7 linked regions of the Macaca mulatta genome follow. The protein of the gene in region 7 purifies or fractionates together with the protein of the main gene of each other region. This does not show direct contact. Links are inferred from orthologs where the notes say so. Each region holds a gene or a part of one and is shown on either strand. Other genes may lie near its edges.

Region 1 (4,090 bases), on a different chromosome or scaffold from region 7:
TCTTGAGGAGAGGTTCCCAAAGCAAAATAAAATGGCCAGCGCCATGTCCACGTTGCTGGCAATAGCTTTTGACGGTGGTGAGCACAAGCAAGAGGGGTCCTAGAACACCAGGCCTCAGGCAACAGCAAAGCCACTGCAGCCTTAGATAGCTTGCTCCAATGCTCACCCACATCCCTCACACCAGGTGAGGGAGACATACCAGGCAAGGCTCAACTGCCATCTCTAAAGTACTTCCAAAGGAGAGAAGACACATCCAAGCTAAGAGATGGAACCTCTGGGCCTAGCAGGATCGAGGTGGGGTGGGGAGGAGGAGGAGGAAGACATTAATCTGGCAGGGCTTCCTTCTAGTCCAAATGACCCTCTGACTTCCTCAGCATGGATAAATATATAACAAATAATATCAATATATCTGCACATAAAGACTTTTTTCGAATTCCTGCTATTCATTTCAAATTCCGTTTACAAAGCACTGAATCCTCCAGGAACTGCTGGGCACCTCCCCTAATACCCTCTAGGCTGAGGCGATGCCTTTGAAGTCCCTATCACGGGCTCAGGGCTGGAGCTGCTAAGAAACACCCTAAGACTGAAAGCAAATCGGCCGGCAGCTTCAGCTTCTTCGCAAGCTGCTAGCTGCTCTCCTCGGAGTCAATGTAAAGTCATCAGAGTTCGAATGTGGACCGCAAGCTTCTCAGCCCTTCAGTCCCAGGGATGATCTGGGATGTAAACACACACGAGGGTTTATTCCTTTGGCCAGGCAGAGAGTCGTTAGGGTAAAGGGTAAGGGTCAAGGGGGCTCGGATTGGTGACTGAGGAGCCCAAGGAAAGCCGGCAGAAGCGAGTCCTCTTAGAGCTGGGCTTTTGGCTCCGAATCGTGCAGGCTTCCCACTTTACACAGACCTTTCATCCCCTTCCTCCTTCTTCCTCCCTCGGGTCTCTCGCCACCCGCCCCCCACCTCGCCTCCATCCCCAGATGCCTCCACGCCCAGGTGGTGTTGCCCACTGAGGGTGGCCCAGGGGGTTTGCAGCCGGGGAGGTTGCCACCACGGGTGGGCCGCCCCGGAGACGAGAGGCGAGGCGGCGAGCCCCGGCATTTTCCTTTCCCCAGCACCTGTCCCACTTCGGCGCCGGGGCTGGGGCTGCGCCCGCGGGCGGCCTCGGAGCCTGAGCGCCAGAACCACGCACTGAGGTCGCCCAGGGTGGGGAAGTAGGGGGCCGGGGGAGGGGCGGGGCATCCGGCGGGGACGTCTTCCCCACCGCATGCAAGACCCTTTGCGCCCCCCCAACATACACTGAGGCTAAAACAGGGGGAAGAGAGTCACACAGAGCACGAGCGAAATCGCTCGCTCTCCGACCCGAACAGCGCGTTGCTCGACCCCCCCCCCTTCCTGGAGCCGGGGGCTGGCCGAGGAAGGTGGCTCCGTTCTTCCCCCGTGGCCAGTGCGGGGTCTGCGGCTGCCCGGCGAGGTTCCGGCTTCCCCGGGCTGGCAGGGGGAGCCCCGAGAACTGCAGGCCCGCCCCCCCTTCCTCCTCCTCCTTCCCCTCCTCCCCCACGTGTCCTCCCGGAGCCCAGCGGCCTGATCCCAGCACCCCCCGCCACCTCCCTCCTCCCGCTTCGCCCGCTTCCCCGGCGGCGTGGAGAAGAGCAAAGTTGCGACAGCGGCTGGGGGCTCTGCCCAGGTAAAGGGGGCGCCGTGAGGCGGGGGTGGTGGGCGAACGGTGCGGCCCTGCGGCGGGGGCGGGGGGAGGATAAAGAAACTTGCTTCCCGCGGCCCCCACCCCGCGTGGGTTCCGATCTTGCGTGGAACGAGCCCTCGTGGCGAGTCGCGGCAACACCGCCGGGACCGAGGCCGGCACCTGGACCCGGACCCGGACCGCGCGCTTGGGTCGGCTCGGCGGGCGCAGGCAGCGGGCCAGGCCAGCACCCAGGCAAGGGCGGGGTGGGTGGCCGTACACCGGACCGAATCGGGGACTCCAGTGGCGTGGGCGCAGGCCGAACCCGGACCGGGCCGAGTTGGGTGGCGAAGTAGGACGTGGATTCGGGGGCGGGGCGCGGCGGGAGGGGGAAACCAGGCCTGGCCGGACTGGCCTGGGCGTGGGGGCGGGGGGCGAGTTCGGGGCACTTGCTGGGCTCTGGACCGAGCGGTAGGGCGGGGCGGCGCTAGGGGCTGGGCCGGACCCGCAGGGAGAGGGCGAGGGGAGGGAGAGCCGGGGGTGGAGTAGGGGCGTGGAGTTGTGGAGCGGGGTCTGGCCTCGGCCGGGGGCGAAGGTAGATCGGCGGGGCCGCGAGCGGAGGGAGGGAGGCCCGCGGCAGCGCGGCGGCAGCGAAGGCCAGCTTCCGCGGAGTTTGTGCCCGGGCTTCCCGGGCTCCGGCCGCCTCACGCGCACAAATGGGGCTAGGGGACTGAGTGGTAAGCAACTCCGAGTGTTAGACGGTGATCGAGCGGCGATTCCGGGAAAAGCGAGGAAAGACACCGTCTGCGATTATGCCGCACCCCCCACCCACCTCTTAGCATCTGGATTCTGCTCTCATAGTGGGGGCCGCGGACCCTCCCCGCCACAGTCTTTTTACTCTCCAGCACTCCCACCTCCTTTCCCCTTCTTCAGCCATCTGACTCTCCTAGGGGTATGTGTTTTTGGGGGTGGACGGCGACGGGGGTGGGGGATACTTTCCTTCCCGCGGCGACAACCTAGTTCGTATCTTATTCCTACAAGGTAGCGTCGCTTCGAGTCGCGTGGACATTGGGGTTTAGATAATTTACCCCCCACCCAAGCGATTTAATGGCTGTTAAGCAAAAGGCGAATACCTGGATTTCCATGGCAGGGATGAGGTTTGAAGATTGGGATTCAACCCCAGCTCACTTCCACTACCAACCCCTCTTTCTTGTGAGCCACTTCCACGGGTATCCAAACCTGGGGGGGAGGGGGGACGGGAGTATTAATATGCTTCTCTATTTCTACACAGGGTCGGCGTGAGGAAGGACGGCTAGCCTTGGAGGGAAAGTAGCCACCAGTCCAACTCGGGTCACCCCCACCATTATTTCGGTGAGGGGGCAACGCTAAGAAGGGGATACTGGTGGGTAGGGGCCCAGTATAAAGGAGGGGGCTGGGTAGTTGTCCCCAGAGGGACTCCGTGTCTTGGCGGGGAGACAGAGAGGCGAGCCCCGGCTTCAGGGGAGGGGTTCCGGGGAGGGAGATGGGGGGGTGGCGACGACGGTAGAGGGGGGCGGGAAGAAGGGGGAGTCACGCCCTGCCTGCAAGGGGAGCCTCCCTCAGGCCCCTGGGAGAAGGGGACTGAATGCGTCTGTTCTCTGCTGCCCAGCAGAGGAGATCTGGGGTCTCGAGATTTGCACACTGGATGGGCACCAGTGGCCTGAGAAAGTCAGGTCGGGGCATAAGGTGGAGAGCGTTGGAAGAAAGAGAGGGAACCCCTCGGCCGCGGCCCACTGACCCTCTCCCTTCCTCAACCTCCCCCTTCGAGGGGCGTCGAGGCGGGGGGGGCGACGTGGGGCTCCTGCAGCCCCGCAGATTGAGCGCCTCCGCCTCTCTCGGGAGTCTAGCTTTTTGCCCGGCTTGCTGCAGCCACTGCTGCCTCCCTCTCCGGAATCCGCTCGGTCCTCTCAGCGATCCCCTCCTCCTCTCCTCCCCTCCCAGTGTCACCGGGGCTGCTTGGCTCTGCCCCCTTCGCCGCCGCTTGCTCCCTGCTTTCGTCCCTCCCTCTCTTGCTCGCTCCCTCCCTTCGCCTCCTCCTCCCCATTCCCCCCCACCCGCGTAGGCGGCATTCTGGGAGTTGTAGTCCGGTGGCGCGGGGGTTGGCGCCGCCCGCGGACCCAGCCGGACTCCACTTCCCGTCGAGCCCTGCGACCGGCACCCACTCCACCAGGCTTCGCTCGCACACAGACACACACACACACCGCTCTCCCCCTCACTCTTTCGCTCGCCGCGGCTGCTGCCAGTGTGTGGCTCTGTCTCTCCTCCGCTTTGCTGAGCCCTCCCTTCTTCCTCTCAGTTCCTAGAGTCCGACCGCCGCCGCTGCCGAGAGAGAGGAGAAGGAGGTCGGTGGCGATAAGGGGCGGAGGGCGGCATCAGATCG
Region 2 (4,096 bases), on a different chromosome or scaffold from region 7:
TCCGTGATCCCATTTCGGAGTTTCCTCTTCCCAAACAAAAATAGACGGGTCACTCCCTAGAAGATCTCGGGGAGAGGCTCCTATACGTGTTGCCGTGTAGCTTCCGTACCGCAAAATGGCGCTATTCTGATCAGCAGAGTTGACACAATCAAATAGCCACACGGCACGGAGACGCATGCGTGGCGACAACAACAACAAAAACCACCACCCACATTACTTGATGGCTCAGGCGTGCGCAAAGCTCCCGGTTCAGTTTCCCGCGCTGGAACTTTTCCAATAGTAAACGAGCAAAGCTCCGCGCGCCCAGGTGGCGCGAGCGCTAGGATCTGTCGGTTGGGGTCCTACTTTTACATAACGCCCCCACAATGCCCTTCGCCTTCCTCTACGTGGCCCCCGCTCCAAGCCCATTTTCTGGAGCTAGGAATCCACTCTCTGGGTTAGGAAAGGCCCTCAGGAGGCGGAGGGAAACCTGTGGAATGCCGAGAAGCCGTGTAATGAAATAACGTCACGCCTGCCCCTCACCATTACTCTGACCAGGGTTCGAAGGTCACACTTAGAGACTAAGGGGAAATGGAGAAGTGCAAGGGGACGAGCAGAATGGCTGGCACCACCTCAGGTTAGCGCACTGGGCCGTTCTGGTTCTCACACAGCCCAGCCCAGCCCAGCCCTCCCAACCCAAGTCCCTACGCACGGAGCCAAGCCGCACCTCTCGCCTCATGAGGCCGGAGCCCGGAGTAAAACAGAAGGCCCGTCAAGGGTCTCTGGCGGGACTGACTCGCACTAGGGGCCCAACAGGCAATAAGGACCCAGCGCATTGGCCAAGGATAGGCCAGTCCCCAGGGAAGCAGCACCGCGCCGGGACTAGAGGGCAACTGTGAGGAGAGCTGCGAGGAGGGGTCCAGCCTGGCTCCCTCCTTTCCCCGCCCTAAGTCAGCTTCTTCGCCCAGTGAGCACACAACTGTATTGCCCAGGCTCCCAGGCCCCGAACGCCATACCTGGTTTCCGCTTCCGGTGGCTTCTCGTTGCGCCCCGCCCGCAAGCGTCCTCCTCCGGGGATTCGTGACAGCCAGGTCGTGCGCGGGTCATCCTGGGATTGGTAGTTCGCTTTCCCTCACTTAGCCGGTTTCTCTCTCTACCGGGGACTCCGCGTCCCGGCATCCACCGCGGCACCTGACCCTTGGCGCTTGCGTGTTGCCCTCTTCCCCACCCTCCCCAATTTCCACTCCCCCCACCCCACTTCGCCTGCCGCGGTCGGGTCCGCGGCCTGCGCTGTAGCGGTCGCCGCCGTTCCTTCGAAGTAGCAACTTCCCTACCCCACCCCAGTCCTGGTCCCCGTCCAGCTGGTGAGTCTGAGGTCTTCGCTGCTCCTAGTCGCTTGTCGCTGGGAGCCGCACATGGGTCTCCGCACTTTGATATGGGGGCGGGGGGAGGAAGCAACCAGGTCCGGCAAGGAGGGAGAGGTGGCTTGAGGAGCGGAGGGGGGATGTGTGGAATCCGGTGAAAGGGACCTGACAGTCGCCCCCAACCCTTGAGAAAAGGAGGGGCCCGATTCTTGCTTGAGAGTGATAAACTTTGAAATCCTTGGGAAAGGCGCCGGGGTCGTGCAGAGACTTGCATTGGTACGGAGCCTGAGTCGAGGTCCCTGCCGGAGTTGACACAGAGAAGAGAGGGCCCTGGCTTTCGGGAGCTCCAGGGACGTGGGTCGGGCTGGTGGGTCAAAGTATCTGTTGGCTTCTTTCAAGTGGTGGGACCCCAAAGAATGTTTAACGTCAAAGAAAAGGGAACTGAGATGTAAATTGGAGGAGTTGGAGAGGAGTGCTTCAGAGTTTGGGATCCTTTAAGAAAGGGTGGTTCTAATGTGGGAGGAGGGAGGATACCCGAGGCAGGGAAGGAGAACTTGAGCTTTACTGACACTCTTTTTTTCAGCTGACGTGAAGATGAGCAGCTCAGAGGAGGTGTCCTGGATTTCCTGGTTCTGTGGGCTCCGTGGCAATGAATTCTTCTGTGAAGTGAGTTCTCTTCGACCTCCCTACTTGCTGGCTTCACATATCTTCCCACCAGATGTTCCTTCACGTATTCCACTTCTACACTGTTCTCTTACATACTACTTGAAAACTTCCCATCAACGAAGAGTCCCCTCAATAACCCCCGACGAACCTGTGCTAAAGTGGCAAAACTGGGGCCCAAGTTTTGACTCTGCCACCCTCCAGCAGGCAATTTGTGTCTTTTTCTTTATCTTTTTTTTGAGACTGGGTCTCACTGTGTCGCCCAGGCTGGAGTGTAGTGGTGCGATCTCGGCTCACTGCGACCTCTGCCTCCCAGGTTCAAGCGATTCTCCTGCTCCAGCCACCCAAGTAGCTGGGATTACAAGTACCCGCCACCACACCCGGCTAATTTTTGGATTTTTAGTAGAGACAGGGTTTCACCATGTTGGCCAGGCTGGTCTCAAACTCCAGACCTCAGGTGATCTGCCCGCCTCAGCCTCCCAAAGTGCTGGGATTACAGGCATAAGCCATTGCGCCCAGCCTGTATCTTTTATTACTAAAGTTGTACTGCTAGTACATGTCTCAGCTGGCTGTTAGGAAAATTGAAATGCTACGTATTGAAATGTTTTGTTCAGAAACCATGCCGTTCAGCTTCCATCCTCCTCAGCCAGCTGAGAGGACAAAACTGGTTCCTAGAGATGGAGTACAGGAGTAGGGACAGAGATCTTGAAAAGAATGTCTAAGAAAAAGATTGCTGTACCTGCTTATCCTTAGAAAAGAAAAGCCAAAGCTTTATGGGAGGGAGTATAGGTGAACTAGGGAGAGACGCAAGTACTTCTGCTGAGTTGGGAGTGAGAAACAAGCGGAACAGATGCAGTTGTGTTGATGATAAGGCATCAGTTAGAGCATTTTGCCCAGGTCAAAGATGGGGATTTTGATATGGGTTCCCTCTTGGCTTCCATGTCCCCACAGGTGGATGAAGACTACATTCAGGACAAATTTAATCTTACTGGACTCAATGAGCAGGTTCCTCACTATCGACAAGCTCTAGACATGATCTTGGACCTGGAGCCTGGTGAGGCACCCTCAGGGTTGTTTTGTGTGTGTGCATGCACTTTTTTTCTCTTCAAATCTATATTCACTTACTTGAATTTTGAAATTTCCTTTGGTTCTCTGATTTCTTTAACCCCAAATTCATGCTTTATTTTGATCCTCCACCTGACTGTGTCTAGTTTTGTGACGTATATCACTTGTTCCCATGTTTTCTAAATCCACAATTCAGATGTTTTCCAAAATATGTTTCCTCATGGGTCTGGTTTGCTATTTCTCCTGCTTTGCACCTTCCAGTCTAGAGTTTCATCTTTTGCATTGACATTGTTGCAGTTATGTATTGGGGAGGGAGCTGGGAGGGAGAGTGGGGAGCGGAGGCTAAAGAGGTGTGAAGAGAAGACAGAGCTGTCTTGGGTTGGCGCAAGGGTCAGAAGCCCAGGTTTCTGGGTCACATGCCCAGATGTTGGATGGGGTAAGGCCCAAAAGTAGGTGCCAGGCGAACTGAATAGTCCGCACCCCCTGGATATGGGCAGGGCACCTAGGAAAGCTGAAAAACAAGTGGTTGCATTTGGCCGGGCTGTGTTTCAGATGAAGAACTGGAAGACAACCCCAACCAGAGTGACCTGATTGAGCAGGCTGCCGAGATGCTTTATGGATTGATCCACGCCCGCTACATCCTTACCAACCGTGGCATTGCCCAGATGGTGAGGCCTCTCTGCTCCTAATTGCCTCCTTCTGAGCAGTAAGGGACACAGGTTCCTGCAGCAAGAAGTCATGTTTAAGCCTTGTTTAAGGAAACTGGCTGAGAAGAGGAGAAGAACCCCAGGCTTGGGCCTGGGAATTGAATTCTGATTGGGGGTCATCCTGAAGGGATAATTTTCAGGGAGGGAGACAGTCCTTGAACAGAGAGTTGTGATAGACTGCCTCTTCCTCAGGGAACAAACAACAAATGGCTCTGATGGTTTGTAGCCTGCCTAACTGGAAGAAAGGCAACATAGGAGTTTGAGAGCCCATCTGGGCCAGAGAAGGGGCCTCTGGACAGAGGTGGGAGGAGTGGGGGA
Region 3 (2,540 bases), on a different chromosome or scaffold from region 7:
TCTCTTCTAGATCCCTTTGCACAAGTCCATCACATTCCTTAGATTTCAGACTTAATTCAACAGCTACAAGCTACAGTTCAGTCCACAGCAACTCCAAAGTTGCAAACAGCTCTTTCGCTTGTGGGGGAAGAACTAGAAACCACTGTGGAGCCAGAGTCCTGTTATAAATTCCTTGGGTAAGAGGGGCACCTCGTGTTCAGTAATGGATCACATCTTCTTAGAGAGGATGAGGGGACCCAGCACCACAAGTGAGGTAACACATTTTAACATGATCAGAATTTCAGAGTACTTCTTAATACCAGGGTCAGCACCCTACCCCCTTTCTCCCATCATTATCCACTGCATCATCCAAGTCAAGGATCCAAGTTCCAAGACACAAACAAACAGATGCCTGCAGAGAAAGGAGGTGAGATCAGTTTCCCCTCACAGCCTGGCTTCTGCTTAAGGACAAGTAAGTTCATTTCCCTGCAGAACTTGGTGAGGCCCCCGAGTTGCCCAATTTAGCCACAACAGGTGCCAATGTAGGCATCACCTTGCTTTCCCGGCCTTCCGGGTCATTCCCTGTTAAGTTCATTTTGTGTCCAACTGACCCAACTTTGGCAGCTATAGGTGCCAAACAAGGCATCACCTTGAGACTCTGACCATCTGCATCACTGGAAGGATTAGCTACTTTTAAACCTAGAGGGGCCAACTTTGGCATAGGCCTCCACAAAGTATCTGTGCTGTTGCTGTTCTCCAGGCCAGTCTTCATGTGTAGGGTGGGGGGTGAGGACACACTTTCAGGCTCTGCAAGGAGGCCAGAAGTATTCTTCCCTCCATCAATAGCTTTTTTGTTGGAAAGGAGGGAATCCTTTATTTCAGAGTCAATAACAATCTTAAGGACATCTGGTTCAGAGGCTGGTTCTGCAAGTTGTTTTTCATTCTCAGAAAAGTCATCATCTTCCAAGTGCAAGAGGAGGGGACTGATAGAGTCACTCTCCCCTTGAACATCAGGCAACTCTTTCAAACCAGTTCCCAAGTGCTCAACCTGGAAAGCTGCTCTGTTTCCAGAAGTAACCTTACTGATAAAAGCCCGCCGAGCATCCCCTGGGAACTCTGTATCCATAGAGCTGGGTAGTTCAGCCAGGCTAACAGAGTCATCATTTAGTTGTTGATTAAGGAAGGCAATTTCATTGAGCAGTGAAGTCAGTGTCTCATCAGTATCATCCTCATCTTCCATGTTAGTTAGCAGTTCACTGGAATCAAGAGCTGCTTCCTCTATAGCTGATGTTACTTTCCTCAGTTCCATCTCTATGCTTGAGTCCTTGAGATCTTTCATCTTTAATTTATGAAATGAAGACTCCTTTGACTTCACTCTCTCCCCTCTTGATTCACTCTCTTTCCATTTATACTGAATCCCTCTCATATCACCAGAAATCTTTTTAGGTAAGAACTCTTGTGCTTTCTGCATACTGGAAACGTCAACTATTTGTGGATAAACAGAATCTTTGTTTGCCAGAAAAACCTGCGTTGGACCCAACATCACTCTGCCATCTCTGTTTCCTCTGGAAGAGATTCTACTCTTATCCTCTAAGGAATTATCTTCATTCCTGACGGTGTCTTTCAGATGGTCAGATGGCTTGCCATCAGGAACTTCATGAGGATATTTGCTGCCACCCATATCTACCAAACCTCCCTCTGTGGCCAATGATGTCACATTAACAATTCGTGGCATCATAAATAAGTCGTCGTTTTCTGAAAAACAAAAATTAAAAAAAGAAAAATTCATTTAGATCTACAGAGTTAGCATCTCTCTCTCTCTGTCATACCATATGACCATCTTAGGGAGTTGTAGTCTAAATTCAGCACTCTACTTTTATCAAGATGAAAGAAGTATCAGCTCTTCAAATTACTGACCTAACCCAATAAGAAAAAACTCAACTAAAATCCAACCAAATGGCTCTTTCCACCATTTTTTAAAGTTCCATTTAACTATTTTATAGAAATGCTCCCCCAAGTTAATTCTTGTCCTAAGGCAGAAATACATCTTGATTCTGTTCACCCAATTAACTGCTACTTAGCACAGAAAATGAAGCCCTAGAGGCAGCATGGGAACCAGGAAAAGATGAGTCCTCCAGAGTGAGTCTGGCAAGAGGTAGAGACAAGGAATTTTGGCTGGCAATAGCAATAAAGTAATGAGGATCTTCATATTACTAAAGAGACACTTTTACCTTAATAGACCCTTACCTTTTACCTAATATTACTAAAGAGACCCTTTTACCTTTATCACCTAATCACCCAAGTGAGAATTCTCTTTCAACTTTACCCTTTGCCCCAAAACAGAGTAGTGCTCAAAGTGAATGAGGCTCGTAATGCAGGACTGTTATCATCTCTGAGTACCACAAGAAACTGACAAATATTTATCAACACCAAGACCTAAGACCGTGATTATTTAACATCTTCCTTTCCCTCTGACATCTTTTTTATTCTTCCTCTTAGAAATTACTAGAGTTCACAAAATGGTGCTCAATACCAGGTGTAAAACACACCAAACAGTACCG
Region 4 (4,068 bases), on a different chromosome or scaffold from region 7:
TTGCCTGAGGAGCAGGAGTGGCCAAAATCAGCATAAAATGTGCAAAGCGGGCTGTCATGTAATAATACCCTGCATAGGCAGAGAGGCCTTTGGTCAGCTCCTCAAGTCCTCCTAGACTTACGCTCGGTGCGCACCGGCCTCTGCCGCCAGCTGTGGCCCTGAACTTTGGACTCTTCTCTGGCCTAGCCCGCCCTTGGCTGGGGTGCTCGGGCCTGGCCCTAGCGGCGGGGCCGTCCAGGGTGGACTGAGTCTCCAGGACTCGGGGACCACCAGGCTCACCATGCAATGAAACTGTTTCTGGAGTTTTCCTGTCCCTGCTTTCCCTCCCGAGTCCCGGGCCAGGCTGCGTCCAGTGGGCACAGAGGACACCCAGAATTGTTGGTAATCTGGGGGTAGGCCAGGCATGGGCTTGGAGGTCACCGGGTCCAGCAGAGGCAGCGGCCTCTGTGCCACGCACGCACACACACCTCTCTTCCGTGTGTCCACATACACACGTCTGTGCACACACCTGCTCTCCATACATGCACAGCCCCACACACAGTCGGCCCTTTATGTGCACAGACACTCGTGCACACAAGCGGCCCCCTCCCTCCGTGCATACAGGCGCGCACACAGCTGGCTGTCTCTCCTTTGTGAGAGAGAGCTCAAGCACACACCCGGCCCCGCTATTCGCACACACACTCCTGGACACACTAGTCCGTGCTCCCCCCTACACACATGCACACAGCCGGCACTCTCTGCTCCCTGCACACACATCCTGACACACCCGGCCCCCCACCTGCTGCCCCATGTGCACACACACTAGTGCACACACCAGTCCCCGCCCCCTCACATGCACACACACTAGTGCGCACACTACTCGCTCCCCTACGTGCACACACCAGTCGCCGCTCCCCCACGTGCACACACACTCGTGCACATAGCCGACCCCGCTCCCCCATGTGCACACACACTCTTGCACACAGCCGGCCACCTCTCTCTCCAGACACACCGTCACAGACGCGCACAAACGCGGCCCCTTGGCCTCCGAGCGCACGCCGCGCGCGCTCACTGCCCGTCCCGGCGCAGGCCCCGGTTCCATCTCCGCACGCGCACGCGCACACGCGGACACGCGCGCACGGCCCCTCCCCGCCCTCCCAGGGCGCGCAGCACTGGCGGGAGGAGCGGGAGACCGAGGAGCTGCAGAAGAGGAGGAGGAGGGCGCCGAAGGCGCGAAAAGGCGCGCAGGCGCGCTGCGGGGCCCGCCGCCGCCCACGTCACCGCGCCGCGCGCACGTCACGCCGGCCCGACGCTCGGCCAGGGTGAGCCCCGCGTCCCGGCGCCGCTCGGCCCAGGGCAGGGACCCCGCCACGGCCGGGACCGCCCGGCCCGGCCCCCGCCCGCGCCTCCCTGCGCCGCCCCGCGCCCCGCACCGCGCCCTTTCCGCGTCCCCGCCCGCGCGGCCGGACCGGGCAGCCAGGTGCGGGCGGGCAGGGGATGCCGCGGGAGCCGCGGGCGGGGGCCGGGGGTGCGGGCGGGACCCCCGGCCACCCCATCCTGTGCCCCGGCCGCGTGTAGGCGCCGCGCGGCCCCGACCCGCGGTCTCCCGCGCCCTCCCGCGCCCCGCGCGCTCCTGTGCCTCGGGGACCCCGCGCGCTCGGCGCTGGTGGGGGCTCCCCAGGTGACCGCGGGGCGGGGGTCCCGGGCCTGGCCCTCCTGGCCGATAGCAGCGCCCGCGCCCCGCGCCGGAGGTGGGGCCAGGGCCAGGGTCGGCCGGAGCGCGCAGGGCGGGGGAGGGGATGCCGCCCCACGGCGGCCCGCGGGGACCCGGTTCCGGCGCGCGCGGGAGGCGCCTCGTGCGGAGGCGGCCCGAGGCCTAGTGACAGGCGCGCGGCGCGGACCCCGGAAGCCCACCTGTCAGAGTTACCGGTCAGCCAGGCGGGCGCCGCCGGGGTCTGGGGTGGACGCCGCGAGCCTGCACGTTGCGCCGGGACCCTGGGGCTGCGCCCAGGTGGGTGGTGGGGCCCCCCCTGCAGCGGCGGGAGGGAGGCGCTGCGCCCTGGCTGCCGGGGCTCAGCCCCACCCTCGGCCGCTGGGCGGGCCGTCGGGGACCTGGGGGTCGTGGTGGTGACCCTGCGGGCCCGCCGGCCACTTTTGCGCAGGGGACATTTCCGTCTGACGAGGCGACTTAAAATCCTCAGTGTGGGAGTCGGTTTGGCCAGCTCCGCTCTCAGGATGGAGGGTGCCTTTGGGAAGGAAGGTCCACGTTTCCTTTGAGATGTGTTATTTTTTCAACTTCTTTTTTCATTCTTACTTATTTATTGTTTTTCCTTCCTTTTTTTTTTTTTTACCAGAAAAATCATTTTTCTTCTCTGGGAAGGTGAACATTTGTAGCATTTATTTCCCGGATCTGGTAACATGGCAAAAGATGTAAGTATGTTTGCTTCATGCTGCACACGAATGTTTGCCTCGCACTAAATTCTTTGTAGTTTTCTGCCTTTATTTCAGAATGACAACGCATAAGCTACAGTAGTGTTTATTTTCAGACTTTTAAAGCATCTGAAGCGGGATGAAGGTGAAAGATGGAAGGATCTGATCTCTGAAACTGCGCTCACCACCCCCAAGTTGTGGCCTTGGATACCACACTGTGCAGTTGGGTGGTGATGGGGTGGTGCCTTCTGACTTTCTCCTTATCTTTACCGACTGTGTTAATTGCTAATTTTGAATAAACTCCTTATTAAATTGAGGTGGAGGGTGTTGCAGCACCGCAGCGAATCCTCCATTTCTTGGGGGCTTCCACATAAGATCCTGGACGGGGGCCAGGCTTAGGTCTCAGACTGTAGCCACCTGCTGGCACCTGTCTTTCTATAGAGGAAGTTAATTCCACTTGGGTGGACCAAGAGCTAAGCAATTGTTTTGGCCACTTTTTTTTCTCAGAAGGATGAGATTTGGTGGTTTATGAAATCTGGTAAGAAATGCTACTTAGCCTGCTTAGTATTTGTCATGAAACTATAGAATATTTTGAATAATTTTTTAAACTTGTGTGGGGATCGAGGCTTTTAAGGCCAGAAATGTACTCTATTTTATTGGCGTGTGGTTCTTTACTATGCTTGGTAATGCTGGTCACTGAAGCAAGCTGGATTCCTTAGTGTTTCCCATCACGCATTGCTCTGTAACTGTGAGTGAAAGGGGTTGTTGATACAGCTGTAGCGAAAATGCATCCGGAGTGTGGAACCCTCTCCATCGACGCAGAGGTTTCAGTGGTCCCTGTGAGTCCTTGTGGGGCGTCTGCCCTCCCTGACCTGTGACCACCTACGTCACACGGTGTCCCTGGCTTCAAGCACTGGGATGTGCTTTAGAGAGGGCATATGAGCACACAGGTGGACCCAATGTGGGTTTTTGAAGTCATATCTGGGTGTGCTGCGAGGCTACTTTTACCCTATCCACTGTGCTTGTCCGTACCATGCCCTGACCTCATGCGTGCATGCACTCAGAATGCCAGATGTGGCCATGTGCTCAGCGCGCAGCCGTGTTCATTACGTCTCCTCACAGTGAGGAGCTGGGCCCAGGGCCTCGGTTAGAGCACGCTTCTGGTGTTGTGTGGTTTCCTGTGTGGTTTCCTCAAATGGTTCTTAAACACGCTTTGATACATAATGGGTGGTGTCACCGGGGCCCTCATTCATTCCCCCTTGATTTCATTGGCACTGTATGTGAACAGCATGTAGTGTGAGGCTGGGGGTCGGGGGCATACAGAAAGGTGATCCGACTCTGCGGGACTCCAAATGCTCTATCCAGTTTTGGCATTTGAGACGCGGCATTTGTCAGGGGTTGCATAGGCACAGGGCCTGGGGGCTTACCTTGCGCTCAGGGGTTATGATCTGAGTTGGGGGCTGGCGCTGGGAGGAGAATAGGATTCTACAGCTGGTGAGGCCTTCCCTGCTCAAAGTCTGGGAGTGGTCAGGAGTGCTGGGTCTGGCTGGAAAGGGAGATTGTGGACAAGTCAAGGAATTTGATGTTTTCTCTAGCTCTTTTTCTTTTGAGACAGAGTCTTGCGCTGTCTCCCAAGCTGGAGTGCAGTGGCGCGATCTT
Region 5 (3,998 bases), on a different chromosome or scaffold from region 7:
TCACATGAGGAACAACAGGTAGGCGGTCTTACAAAAAAGGTGCCCAGCCCCTCCCAGCTCAAGCCCAACCTGCCCAACCCTTTGGGCTCAAAAACCATTAACATTTAAAAGAAACAAACAAAACAACCTTAACCTGACTTTTAAGAATACAGTGGCAGGGTGTGGTGACTGACGCCTGTAATCTCAGCACTTTGGGAGGCCAAGGCAGGAGGCGGGCAGATCCTGAGGCCAGGAGATAAAGACCAGCCTGGCCAACATGGAGAAACCCCGTCCCAACTAAAAATACAAAAATTAGCCGGTGTGGTGGCGGGTCCCTGTAATCCCAGCTACTTGGGAAGGCTGAGGCAGAAGAATCGCTTGAAATTGGAAGGCAGAGATAGCAGTGAACCAAGATTGCACCACTGCACTCCAGCCTGGGCCAAAGAGTGAAAAATTCCGTGGTGGTGGTGGTAGGGGGAGAGATGCAATTTCTTGACCCAACACACCTGCCAAGTTTCTACCTCAGTAGTGGCATCTAGGCTTGGCATTTTTTTTTTTTTTTTTTAAGACAGAGTCCAAAGAGTCCAGCGGAACGATATCGGCTCACTACAACCTCCACCTTCCGGGTTCAAGTAATTATTGTGCCTCAGCCTCCTGTGTAGCTGGAATTACAGGTGCGTACCACTACACCCTGCTACTTTTTTGTATTTTTAGTAGAGACAGGGTTTCGCCATGTTGCCCAGGCTGATCTCGAACTCCTGACCTCAGAAAATCCGCCCGCCTCAGCCTCCCAAAGTGCTAGGACTACAGGCGTGAGCCACCGCGCTGGGCCAAGGCTTGGCATTTTCATGACCAACCAGGTGTCTCTGTGGAACAATCATTTTGAGGGAACAGGAAGGTTGGAGACTTGATACTGAGGAAAGGGGGGGGACCGAGGTTACAGGCACGGTGATGAGGAGGTGACCTCTAGACCAGCTGCTGCCTGACTCCACCTAGCAGCCACTGCTTTTCATCCAGGTAAGCCTGACCACCTGAAGCCCAGCAACCAAATCTCAGTATGGCCTCCTGGACTGCATGCCACAGGCTGATGCCTGAGTCCCTCAGTCCCTGAGATCCAGCCCAGGAACCTGCCTGCGGCGTGCAGTCAGGAGAGCACACTGTGTGCAAAGACAAGAATTAATCTGCATCTTCAACACCAGCCAGGTGGCCAGCCCAACACAGGTGGGAACCCGGCTCTACCTCTCTGAGATCCTGGACAGGCTTCCGCCTGGGTCCTTCGCTTACCTGTCTTCCCCACCGGCTAGCACAGCACCTGCCCAGGTCACAGATTAAACTAGCATTTGAAGAGATGGGTAAACGGACCTGGGTGAGTGGAAACTTGCAAGCGAGACAGCAGGGAGTGTCGTTAGCGATAAATAACAGGCCGACCTCAGTTTGGTCCCGGAACGTAACCGCTCAAAATGGCTCTCGCAGATCGGCCAGGACAGGTCTGCGGCCCCGCGCGAGGAGGCACGGTGGGCCCCCCGTTTAGGACCGAGGACCCGCACCCCAGGACCCCACCTAGCGAACTGCAGCCTGGCTACCTCGGGTTGGGGTGAGCGGCGGGAGCGGGCTGGGGGCGTTTCTACGAGGAGGGGAAGCGCACCACGTCCAGGGACTGAGTGGCTTGGTGGGTCTGGGGTCCTTCCTTGAAGGGGCAGAGGAGGAAGAGGGGCGATGTGAGGCCGGTACGCCGCCTGCGGGAAAGAGGCCCCAGTGCCGGCGCTCTGGCCTTGTCAGTGGCCCGCCGGGGAAGCGGAGGTGGGGGCGCGAGTGGGGGCGGACGGGGTGGAGGGGCCTACGCGCGCAGCCGTCCACCGAGAGGCCAGGGCGGGGGTCCCGGGCGGGGCCGCTGCAGCTGGAGCAGCGCCCGGGGCTGGGCCTGGCCCGAGGCCCGGCGGGGAACACGTGCGGCGGCCGGGGGTGGTTTGGCGGCTCCTGGCGCCGCCCCGCTGCCCGCCTTGCGCTCCCCGGGCCGGGCGGCTACCCGCTTACCTGCCGGGCCGCGGCGGCGGGGCCGGGCGCTCGGGGCGTCGCGTCGGCCGCCGCCTGGGCGGGAGCGCGGACTCAGCTCGACGAGGCGGCAGCTCGGGCGGGCGCCAGGCGGCGGGGGCGCAGTGCGCGTGCGCGAGGGGAGGGGGGCGGTGTCCTGGGGGCGGGGCGAGCTCACAAAGCCGGCCTCTCGGAGGAGCGCTACGGGCAGCGGCAGCGGCCAGAATGCCTCGGGCCGGCCCAACGCTTTAAAGGGACAGCACGGGGCGCGTGCTTCCCGCTTAAAAGCTTTAATCCCCGAATTTGGCTGGTGCAGGCCCTCCTAATGTACTTCCTAAAAATTGAAGTATAATGATACATACAGGAAAGTGCTAGTGTGCCCTCGCGTTTCCACAGACAGCACGCCCTGCACAAAGACACAAGCGGCCTTCCGGGACCTGCGCAGATGGCGTCGCCCGGCGTTGTCCCCGGAGTCAAGTCGGACCGGGGCACCTCCCCGGGCGACCAGGCCCCTTCTTGATCATCGCTGGTACGGATGAGAGCAGCAGTGGGCATTTGGAAAACACCCGGGACCGCTCCCGGGCGCAGTGCCCCCATGTGGCCTCCCACCCCAGGCAGGTAGGACGACTCCTGCCCATTTGGAAGACCAGGAACCTGCGCGTTCGTTCACAGGGTTCGGAAGCCCGGGCTGCGCCTTCCCGCTGGGCCGGCTGCCGGGCTGCGGGCGCTTCCCGCCTCTGCATGCAGAGCCCGCGGTGCACGAACCTGCTCCCCGCCAGCCCCGCGGACTGGCAGAGCCGCGCTGGAGTCACTCCGCAGTGCGCAAACTCACTTCGCAGCGGGCTCTCTGGGGGCCAACCCTTCCCTCCTGGGCGGGCATTTTCTCCTCCAGGTACAACGGGGTGGTCCCCAGAGGAGGACTCAGGGTCTTAAGGAGAAGCTGAGGCCCGGTCCTCTGGCCTCGACGACTGCACATTCTCGCCTGCTTCACTTCGTAGAGCCTTGGAGGTAGGCACGGCCTCCCTATCCCCTCAGCTAGGCCTGTGGGTAGAATAACGCAGTCCCTTATTCTCCAATTAAAAATGGGAACACAGAATGTGACACAGGAACCCGTGCAAACAAAAGGACAGAGCGTTTGAAATAAAGATGCCAAGGAGGGTGAGGTGAGCGGTTGTCAGAGAGGTGGAACCGGAAGACTGGCAGTTGGTCTGGAGTCCCCTTCCCAGGAAGGACACAGAGAAGGCGAGGTCCCTGTCTGGTCCTTCAGGGCTCCAGGTGGATCTGTGTGCCCAAAAGGCTTGATCCCTTGGGCCAGGTGCCCTGGAGCATGGAGTAGTGACAGTCACAGGTTAGCAAACCCAGTTCGGAGAAAGAAGCTCATCTCTATCTCTGGCCGCCTGGGCCGGAATCCCGAGCCCCTGACAGGCTGCTCTCCCTTCCACCCCGCCTCAGCTCTCAGATCGTCCACTTCTCTCCCTCCTCACCCCAGCCCTACCTCCCACCCGGGTCTTTTTTAAACCTGCAGACAGAGAAACTCCTAAAAATCCAGCTCTGATCTGTCACTCCCCAGTTTAAAACTCAGAACCAGCTTCCCATTGTCCTCAATTCCCAAATTCCCACTGCCCAATTCGGGTAAAGTGCTTACCAGACCCCGCCTCCTTTTCCAAACTACCGCCGCCTCCCAAACTGCAGCCCGCGTTCCAGCCCCAAAACAAAAGTATTTCCAGTCCTTCAGCCCTCCAGGCGAAGCAAGATAAGGGGCTGGACCCCAGAACTATCAGAACTCAAACCAGGTTCCCAGCTTCCACTTCCAGGTGAATTGATCTCACCACCCCATCCCACCCCCAGGAGATAGAGCCTTCTAGTAAAAACGAGATAATCCCACCTGGCGCGGTGGCTCACGCCTGTAATCCCAGTACTTTGGGAGGCTGAGGGGAGTGGATCACCTGAGGTCGGGATCACCTGAGTCTGAGGCTGAGGCAGGTGGA
Region 6 (4,179 bases), on a different chromosome or scaffold from region 7:
TACTCTTAGCTACGTGGGAGTCTTAACTGGGAGACCACTTGAGACCAGGAGTTTGATGCTACAGTGAATTATGACCATGCCACTGCCCTCCAGCCTGGGTAATGGGGAAAAAAAAAGATTAGAGACCTCTGACATCATAGTCTAGTGGGGAGCCAGCTTCTTCAGGGATTTCTCCCTACCTCACCTCGCCCACCTCAGGCTGTGTAGAAACCCCCAGTCTAACCGGTTGTTTCCCTCCAACTCTGTACACACCACGGTGTGTTACCTTTTTATTTCAAACATGTGCTGGCCTCTGTTCTAATCACAGCAACCTGTATCCATTAATCCATTTAATCCTCACAACAACCTTATCAGGTAAGTATTGTCATTATTCGCATTTTCCAAATAAGGAAACTGAGGCACAGGCAGATTAAGTAACTGGCTTAATAAGGTCTTCTGGTTTATAAGTAGGAGCCAGGATTTGAAAACACACCTCTGGCTCCAGCTTAATTAACATGCTCTGTTTACTTATCTGTCCCCACTGAAATTGGAGGTTGAACCTGTGGCATATCCAAATGAGTAAGTATCGCCTGTGCTCACCCCAATATCTGACACTATAGGTCCACGATAACTCATTCATCAAACAGGAAGGAGGGAGGAAGGAAGGAAGGAAGGAAGGCAGGAAGGAAGGAAGGCAGGAAGGAAGGAAAGAAGGCAGGCAGGCAGAAGTAAAACGATACCACAATGGTTTGGTTGCTCACATTTACTAAGCATCAACACTGACCCGCCTGTAAGATGTGCTAACAGAGCTCAGGAATAAATGAAGGCCGGGCGTGGTAGCTCATGCCTATAATCCCAGCACTTGGGAGGCCAAGGTGGGAGGATGGCTTGAGCCCCAGAGTTCAAGACCAGTCGGTGCAATATACTGAGACTCTGCCTCTACTAAAATTAAAATTAAAAATTAGCCGGGCGCAGTGGCGCGCGCCTGTAGTCCCAGCTACTTGGGAGGCTGAGGTGGGAGGATCGCTTGAGCCTAAGAATTCGAGGCTGCAGTGAGCCCTGACCACGCCACTGCACTCCAGCCTGGGCGACAAAAAAAAAAAAAATTAAAATTAAAAAAAGGAATAAATGAACATCTTTGCGGCTGAGAGCTTTCAGTTATCACCGTCGAGAATTCCAGGCGAGCGCTGCGTTTTCCCAGCTGCCTGTTTTCTCTCACCCCCGTTCCCTTCCTCTGGAATCCGGCTCCACCTCTTCCTTTTCCTTTGCCAGCCTCTCCGTGGATTCCGCGGTCCGGGTTTCCCGGGCGCCAGCCGCCGGGAGAGGATCAGTGCGTGGGAGCGCTCCGGCCGCGGCGGGCATGCGCAGAGGGGGGCGGTACACTGCGCATGCGGAAAAATGGCGGGCCGGGCTACTTGAGAGCCGCGGGTTTACCTCCTCCTTTCCCGTCTTCGTCGGGAGTTCCCGGGCACGTGAGGCAGTGCCGCGTTTGCTGGCGGGTGGGACGGCCTAGCCGGGCGGGGCCTTGGAGGACGCCGCGGATCCGTCAGTTTCTGGGCCCTTGGAAATCGGCGCGTGGGGGGCGGTGATCGAGCTGCGCGCGAGAGGGCGGGAGAGCTCGCGGGGTGCGAGGGGAGCGGGACGCCCGGCCGGGCAGCATGAGTCAGCAGCGGCCGGCGAGGAAGTTGCCCAGTCTCCTCCTGGACCCCGCGGAGGAGACGGTTCGCCGTCGGTGCCGAGACCCCATCAACGTGGAGGGACTGCTGGTAAGCTCCGGGACGGGAGGGGGACGGGCGGGGGTCTCCCAAAGCTGGCCCCCTCCTCCCCGCGCCGCCGCCAACCCCGCTGGCCGTCGTCTCGGTCGTCTGCTCCCCCTGGGCCAGGCGCTGCCCATCACGTGCTGCGAAACTGCGCTCTCCCGCCTTCTGCTTTCAGCATCTGTTCACAGACGTGGTGTCAGTCTTCTGGACTTTTACATCGGAACTTCAGGGCACTGTTGGAGAAAATTGCTCAACTTTGCATTGGAAAGGCCATGTTTTTCTCCTTCAGTGGACTCTAGCTGTATCTCTGCAACCTATCATTTGTTCTTCTACCTTCTCTCTCTTCTGCTCTACTGCAGCCGTTTAAAACCTTGTCCACGCTTTATATTTACCACGCCACAGCTCCCATTCATAAAATTATCTCCCCACCTGTTTGACGGAGAAAATGGTTAGGAGATTTGGCTCCCTTTCCCACAAAGACTGATTTCTTCTACTCTTGTTCTGGACCAGATACTGTATTCCCCGGTTCTCAAGGTCCTTAACAAATGCGTTCTTTTCCATTCCTCCCGTATTTTCTTTTTCTTTTTTTGAGATGGAGTTTTTACTCTTGTTCCCCAGGCTGGAGTGCAATGGCACGATCTCAGCTCACTGCAACCGCCGCCTCCCAGGTTCAAGCGATTCTTCTGCTTCAGCCTCCCATGTAGCTGGGATCACAGTCATGCGCCACCACACCCAGCTAATTTTGTATTTATAGTAGAGACGGGATTTCACCGTGTTGGCCAAGCTGGTCTCGAACTCCTGACGACCTCAGGTGATCCACCCGCCTCGGCCTCCCAAAGTGATGGGATTACAAGGCGTGAGCCACCGAGCCCGGCCTCTCCCCATATTTTCAATTTCTCTGCTGCTTTCTTCCTATAACTAGTAGTAATTAAACATTTTCCCAAGTCATTATGCCTGGTCCCCATACCAAATAGTTTGTGATTATTGTCTCATTTAATTTCTCACAGCAGTGTTTTATAATAGTAAAAGACTATTATTCTTGTTTTACGGTTGCCAAAACAGACCTGGAGATGCATGTAATGCCGGCTTGCCTGTGGCTAGATAGTAAGTGGAGAAACTTGGGTTGAACCTCCAAATGTCTAACTCCAGATGATAAATTCTTGACTACTAAAACCACATTCTCAATCCATCCCCATCTTAAAAGATCCCTCCCTTAATTCCATATCCCTTGCCATCTACTGTCTCTCTTCCCCTTCACAGCTAAACTTCTTGAAAAAGTTATTTACACTCACTCTTTCCACTTGATCGTCTCATTATCAGCCAACCCACTGCTGGGGACCCCTATCCTCAGCACACTTGTGAGACCATTCTAACCAGGGTCACCGACAATCTCGTCAATTCCAGCAGCTGTTGTAGTTTTGACACAAAACTACTTGTGTTGGAAACTCTCCCTTGAGTTTCCTTGACATTGATGTTCCATCTGCTTCTCTGGGCTCTCCTTGTCCTCATCCTCTTCCCAGTCCTTCATTTTTTTTTCCCCCGAGACAGGATCTCACTCTGTCACCCTGGCTGGAGTGCAGTGGCACATCCTGGCTCACTGCAGCCTTGACCTCCCAGGCTCAAGTGATTCTTCTGCCTCCACCTCTCTAGTAGCTGGGACCACAGGCACATGCCACAAGGCCTGGCTAATTTTTTTATTTTTAGATATGGAAGTCTTCCTGCGTGGCCCAGGCTGGTCTTGAACTCCTGGGCTCAAGCTGTCCTCTCACCTCAGTTTCCCAAAGTGCTGGGATTACAGGTGTGAGCCACCGTGGCTGGCCACATGTTGATGATATTCAGGGTTCTCTTCTGCTGTCTCTACACATTCTTCTTAGGGGAGTTCATTCTCTCCTCCCATGACTTATGTTACCGTCTACATTTGATCCTTGAACGACTCAGGGTTTGGGGCACCAAATCACATGAAATTCAAAATCTGAATATAACTTTGATTCCCCCAAAACTTTACTGTTTCCTGGAAGCCTTACTGATACTGTAAACAGTTGATTAACACATATTTTGTATTTACATGTATTAGTTAGTGTATTCTTATAATAAAGTAGCTAAAGAAAACGTTATTAAGAAAATCATAAATAAGAGAAAGTCCTACTCATTCAGGGGAATTAGATGATCGTAAAGGTCTTCATCCTTGTCTTCACACTGAGTAGGCTGATGAAGAGGAGTAAGAGGAGGAGTTGGTTTTGCTCTCTAAGTTGTGGCAGGGGGTAAAGAAAATTGGCATCTAAGTGGACCCACACAGTTCAAACCTGTGTTGTTTGAGGATCAGCTGTATATTGGTACCATCTGTATTGGTCGTCTTAATATTTGAGAATTTGATAAAAACTCTAAGCTCACTGTGGAAAAACCACTTAGTTTGCATGCAATATCAGCAGATACATCGCTT
Region 7 (3,980 bases):
AACACTTACTTTCAGGAACACAGTGTCCCTTAGATTTCTGGTGAGTTGCCCAGAGCCTCTTCAGTTTCAATCCAAATGACAATGCTTCTCTGAGTCCTCCTCAAGTAATGTTTCCACCACTAAAAATTGGATCTACAAGAGCTCGGATGTACCGGTTAAAAACAAAAAAAAAGTCAGGGGCCCCCAGGTGGGCCTCAAGCCTCTTTTAAACTAGGCCCACTTCTCTGTCCTGGGCCAACTCCCCTGTGTACTATATTCCTTCTTCTTCCAGGTGCCAGGTATTCAGCCTGTTTCTTCTCTTCTGAGCTGCCACCACCTACTCTATTTCTCAGGGTTCCTCTAACCCCAAGACTGGCTGTGGAGTAGGACACCAGCTTCCCCCCTTCCTTGCTGTCCCTGCAAATAAACATATAGGCTCTTCTAGTTTCAGTATTTTTCTAATGGCTACAAGAAAATAGAGAGGGAACAACAAAAAGCAATAATATATAGTACCAGAGATCAAGATTATAATAATTGTCTCCACTTTAATGTTCCTGCCTCCAAAAAACAAATTTTCTAAATATTGTTTACTAAGCATTTTAAAAAGCACAAAGTACTAACACGGATATACAAATACACTCTAAACCAACTCCAACCTTACACAGCAATTAAGATACTCTGCTTTTCAAAATACTTAAATCACAAAACACGGGTCCAAAAATAGTAACCACAATCATTTTAGCAAACACTTTTTTTCTTTTTGGAATGTTCTGTTGTAATCCCTTAAATTTAGCATGTCTAAAAGTTGGCTTTCTGAGCATAAAAAATGTTCAAAATATTTTATCCACTGTAAATGAGAATAAATGGGTCCAAAATTAGTAACCACAATCATTTTAGTATATACTTTTTTCTTTTTGGAATGTTCTGCTGTAATCCCTTAAATTTAGAATATGTTTGAAAATTTGCTTTTTGAATATGAAAAATGTACAAAATATTTTATCCATTGTGGGAATATACAAAAAGCATATAATATTTACAAAAAATAAGCATGTCAAAGCCAGCGAGCTTCACTGAGAAAATTTTCAAATAAGTTACTGTCAAGCATTCCTGTCTCTACATTTCAAACTTAATAAAATTCTGTAGTGTTTTAAAAAAAAATCAAGATCACATTTTTTAGAAATCTAAGGTCTACTGAATATTTGCATATGTCAATATCATATATGCCTTTTTTAAAGCAACAGTAAGATAGATTAGTATGCTTATTGTTATAGTTTAGTCCCTAATGAACTTTGTAACATCAAAATATATATCTTCTCTACATATTAAGTAATAAATCACAGGATTATATTTAATTCAAAGGGTACCTTCCTATAAAAATCAAGGAGCTCGATAACTAAGTGCTGACAGATTAAGAATGCCAGACTGAATTTCCTGGATGATTTTCTTTATCCACTTAATTCAAAGTCGTTTTTTAAAAAACAGAGTTATTATACTGCAAGCTTACAATAAATAAAGTCTGAAAATGGGCAGAGATCTTTTCATCTCATTTGTCTAAGAGACTGCCATTTAATCAAACTAAAGATATGCAGGTACTTTCAGTAAAAATCTGTTCCTGTGACTGGGCTCATCTCCAACTACTTATTTATAAAATATTAGAGAACTGGAATAAAAACACTAAATAAAACCTTGATCTGACCCTTCCAGAAGTCCATATAGAAAAGAAGTTTAATATATTGTGTATTCTGCAATCAGATAGTTTTCTTTTTTTAGGAACGAAATTAAATTACATCCTTTGCTCCTAAAGAGGATTTTATGGGTTTTCCTTGATCCCTACACACTAACACAACAATGCAGCCAACATTTTTATACCCAGAGTGGGGAGAGGGACATTACACACGGCGATACGAATTAAATCGCAGTAGCTAATGCCTCCCATAAATAATTTATTCTCTCTTGGCAGCAAAAAACCTTACAGCCTCTTCAATTACCCCTCACCGCAAACCATCGCCTGGGTTGCGATCAATGTGACCCAGTTCCTATCGCCACAGCCACCTCCGTCTCGCCTCCTCCCGCCGGGTCCGCGAATGTCATGGGAGGGGGCGGCAGCCGCAGGGGCGTCCCCTGGTCGTCACCCCGCCAGCCGGCGGCGCGCGGGGCAGGCCTGGGACTCACCGGGTGGAGGTGCCCTTCCGCACATCGCACATCATGCACTTGAAGGCCTCGGCGCTGTTCCGGAAGGTGCAGACGCTACAGTCCCAGTAACCCTCATCCGAGGACGGCTTCGGCTGCCGCTTCGGCCTGCAGGACACAACCCGGACACGACGCGGCGCGGGGTCACCAGCAGGCCGCGCCCGGCGCCCGGGCCCCGCGGCCGCCCCCGCCCCGCCCCCCGCCCCAATTCCGCGACCCCCGCCCGGCGGGCCCCCGGCGGGCCCTCGGCGCGCCGCGCTCCGGCTCCAAGGGGGAAGGAAGTCAGGAAGAGGCAGGGCGCGAGCCCGGCCGCACTCGCCGCCGCCACAGCCGCTCTGACACCCGGGCTGCCGCTCCGGTAGCCGCCGCCATCGCGGCTCCATTGTGGGGCGGCCGGCGCCGGCCCCCTCACGCGGCAGCACTCGCACACCAGCGGCGCCGCCCCCGTGCTCGCCCCGGTGCCCGGGCGGCGAGCGAGGCAGCCACCCGAAGCCCTGCACCAGGGCCCTGCCGCCCGCACAGTCCGGGCCCCGGGGCCCGGGCGCTGTTACCTGGTGGGGCTCTTCTTGTCTCCCATGGCTTGGCTATCAACGCACGCTGAGAGTCGCCGCCGCGGCCGCTCTGTTTGTCAATAAGGAGGATAATAAGCCGGGCGGAAGCGGGCGGGGGAGGAGGGAGGAAGGGGGCGGGGAAGGCCGCACCGCCGCGCTCCGGAGCCGCCGCCGGATCCCACGCAGCCTCCAGCTGTCGGGGAAACTCCTGCCTGGGCGCACGTGACCCGCGCCCGCCAACCAGCAGCCGCGCCGGAGACTTCAAACGCGGCCAGCGCGGCCCAGCACCCGCGGCGAGTTAGCCGGCGGGCGGTGCGGAGGTGGACGCCTCGGCCTCGGGAGCCGGCGCCGCCTCTCCGCACTGTTGCCCTGTCGCCTTCTCGGTACCCACGGCTGCCAGGGACTGCCGCGCGCTCCAGAGCCCCTCTGAGGAGGAAAATATCTGTCCCACCGACTGGCTTGGGATGCTCAGTCATCCCGTGCGAAGCCTGGTCCAAGGTCTGGCATTCGGAGGCCTGTCCAGGTCTGGACAGAAGTGCCAGCCCGGGGTCTCCAGGTAGAACGACTTTCCTGGCCGCCGTCCTTAGCTACTCAGTCCCCGCCTGCAGGACACCACGGGGAAGGCGGGAACCAACACGCAGCGCCATTGCTAGATGCCTTAAAGCGCTACACAGATGCTCAAACAAGTAGGGCTTGTCACCCCTAACTTATAGGAATCGAAATCAAGACTCAAGAGAGGTTAGGTGACTTCCTCTGGGCTACATAATTAGAAAATGACAAAGCCAGGAGTCTAACTCTGCTCTAATTCCAAAGGCGCCCTTTTGGCCTCTCAGGCCTCTGCAGTAGCTGCTTTTGAAAGAAACCCAATACATACTCATAAGGCCTTTTTAAATATAAGGAGTTTGCATGTCCCCTCAACGCTGTCTGCTAACAAAAGAACACCTTCCCAGGTCTCTTTACCTCAATATACTAAATAAAGGTCCTCATACTCCAGACTCCAGCAACAGCCATCAAACTGGTCTCCGAAGCTCCACTTCCACCTCCCCAATCGATTCAGTAGTCCACAACCAGATGAATAATAAAATGCTGTTAATATTATGCCACCACTCTGATCAAGAACCACTAACGACTCCCACACTCCTTAGCCTGGCATTTAAAGGCTTCACACATTTTCCCTACCTCTGCATCCCTCTCCCATGAGAAAAGCTGTCTCCTGACAATGCACATGGGTTACTTCTGCATAAACTAGATCCCTCTTTA

What was found.
Region 1: the proteins of YAF2 (region 7) and BCORL1 purify together in Homo sapiens (affinity purification with mass spectrometry; 5 studies listed by BioGRID and IntAct, counting the BioPlex papers as one, with this or other methods). This does not show direct contact. The link is inferred for Macaca mulatta from reciprocal best matches to the Homo sapiens genes YAF2 and BCORL1.
Region 2: the proteins of YAF2 (region 7) and CSNK2B purify together in Homo sapiens (affinity purification with mass spectrometry; 5 studies listed by BioGRID and IntAct, counting the BioPlex papers as one, with this or other methods). This does not show direct contact. The link is inferred for Macaca mulatta from reciprocal best matches to the Homo sapiens genes YAF2 and CSNK2B.
Region 3: the proteins of YAF2 (region 7) and MGA purify together in Homo sapiens (affinity purification with mass spectrometry; 5 studies listed by BioGRID and IntAct, counting the BioPlex papers as one, with this or other methods). This does not show direct contact. The link is inferred for Macaca mulatta from reciprocal best matches to the Homo sapiens genes YAF2 and MGA.
Region 4: the proteins of YAF2 (region 7) and TFDP1 purify together in Homo sapiens (affinity purification with mass spectrometry; 3 studies listed by BioGRID and IntAct, counting the BioPlex papers as one, with this or other methods). This does not show direct contact. The link is inferred for Macaca mulatta from reciprocal best matches to the Homo sapiens genes YAF2 and TFDP1.
Region 5: the proteins of YAF2 (region 7) and WDR5 purify together in Homo sapiens (affinity purification with mass spectrometry; 4 studies listed by BioGRID and IntAct, counting the BioPlex papers as one, with this or other methods). This does not show direct contact. The link is inferred for Macaca mulatta from reciprocal best matches to the Homo sapiens genes YAF2 and WDR5.
Region 6: the proteins of YAF2 (region 7) and E2F6 purify together in Homo sapiens (affinity purification with mass spectrometry; 4 studies listed by BioGRID and IntAct, counting the BioPlex papers as one, with this or other methods). This does not show direct contact. The link is inferred for Macaca mulatta from reciprocal best matches to the Homo sapiens genes YAF2 and E2F6.

What each region holds. Positions count from the first base shown.
Region 1 is NC_133426.1:136,431,939-136,436,028, forward strand, and holds the start of BCORL1 (BCL-6 corepressor-like protein 1), read left to right. Parts: upstream 1-1,290; 5' UTR 1,291-1,677; intron 1,678-2,219; exon of another isoform or gene 2,220-2,623; intron 2,624-2,962; 5' UTR 2,963-3,073; intron 3,074-3,924; exon of another isoform or gene 3,925-4,052; intron 4,053-4,090. UniProt on the Homo sapiens protein: Transcriptional corepressor. May specifically inhibit gene expression when recruited to promoter regions by sequence-specific DNA-binding proteins such as BCL6.
Region 2 is NC_133409.1:150,652,918-150,657,013, reverse strand, and holds the start of CSNK2B (casein kinase II subunit beta), read left to right. Parts: upstream 1-1,296; 5' UTR 1,297-1,343; intron 1,344-1,926; 5' UTR 1,927-1,937; coding exon 1,938-2,009; intron 2,010-2,957; coding exon 2,958-3,060; intron 3,061-3,623; coding exon 3,624-3,739; intron 3,740-4,096. UniProt on the Homo sapiens protein: Regulatory subunit of casein kinase II/CK2.
Region 3 is NC_133412.1:19,154,313-19,156,852, reverse strand, and holds part of MGA (MAX gene-associated protein), read right to left. Parts: intron 1,735-2,540; coding exon 458-1,734; 3' UTR 1-457. UniProt on the Homo sapiens protein: Functions as a dual-specificity transcription factor, regulating the expression of both MAX-network and T-box family target genes. Functions as a repressor or an activator.
Region 4 is NC_133422.1:107,803,496-107,807,563, forward strand, and holds the start of TFDP1 (transcription factor Dp-1), read left to right. Parts: upstream 1-1,268; 5' UTR 1,269-1,301; exon of another isoform or gene 1,302-1,459; intron 1,460-1,735; exon of another isoform or gene 1,736-1,990; intron 1,991-2,333; 5' UTR 2,334-2,397; coding exon 2,398-2,409; intron 2,410-4,068. UniProt on the Homo sapiens protein: Can stimulate E2F-dependent transcription.
Region 5 is NC_133420.1:8,377,343-8,381,340, forward strand, and holds the start of WDR5 (WD repeat-containing protein 5), read right to left. Parts: upstream 2,801-3,998; 5' UTR 2,754-2,800; coding exon 2,665-2,753; exon of another isoform or gene 2,537-2,664; coding exon 2,373-2,536; intron 2,133-2,372; exon of another isoform or gene 2,014-2,132; intron 1,959-2,013; exon of another isoform or gene 1,264-1,958; intron 1-1,263.
Region 6 is NC_133418.1:113,370,518-113,374,696, forward strand, and holds the start of E2F6 (transcription factor E2F6), read left to right. Parts: upstream 1-1,379; 5' UTR 1,380-1,637; coding exon 1,638-1,745; intron 1,746-4,179. UniProt on the Homo sapiens protein: Inhibitor of E2F-dependent transcription. Binds DNA cooperatively with DP proteins through the E2 recognition site, 5'-TTTC[CG]CGC-3'. Has a preference for the 5'-TTTCCCGC-3' E2F recognition site.
Region 7 is NC_133416.1:49,172,033-49,176,012, forward strand, and holds the start of YAF2 (YY1-associated factor 2), read right to left. Parts: upstream 2,801-3,980; 5' UTR 2,747-2,800; coding exon 2,721-2,746; intron 2,568-2,720; exon of another isoform or gene 2,542-2,567; coding exon of another isoform or gene 2,489-2,541; intron 2,278-2,488; coding exon 2,152-2,277; intron 397-2,151; exon of another isoform or gene 10-396; intron 1-9. UniProt on the Homo sapiens protein: Binds to MYC and inhibits MYC-mediated transactivation. Also binds to MYCN and enhances MYCN-dependent transcriptional activation. Increases calpain 2-mediated proteolysis of YY1 in vitro.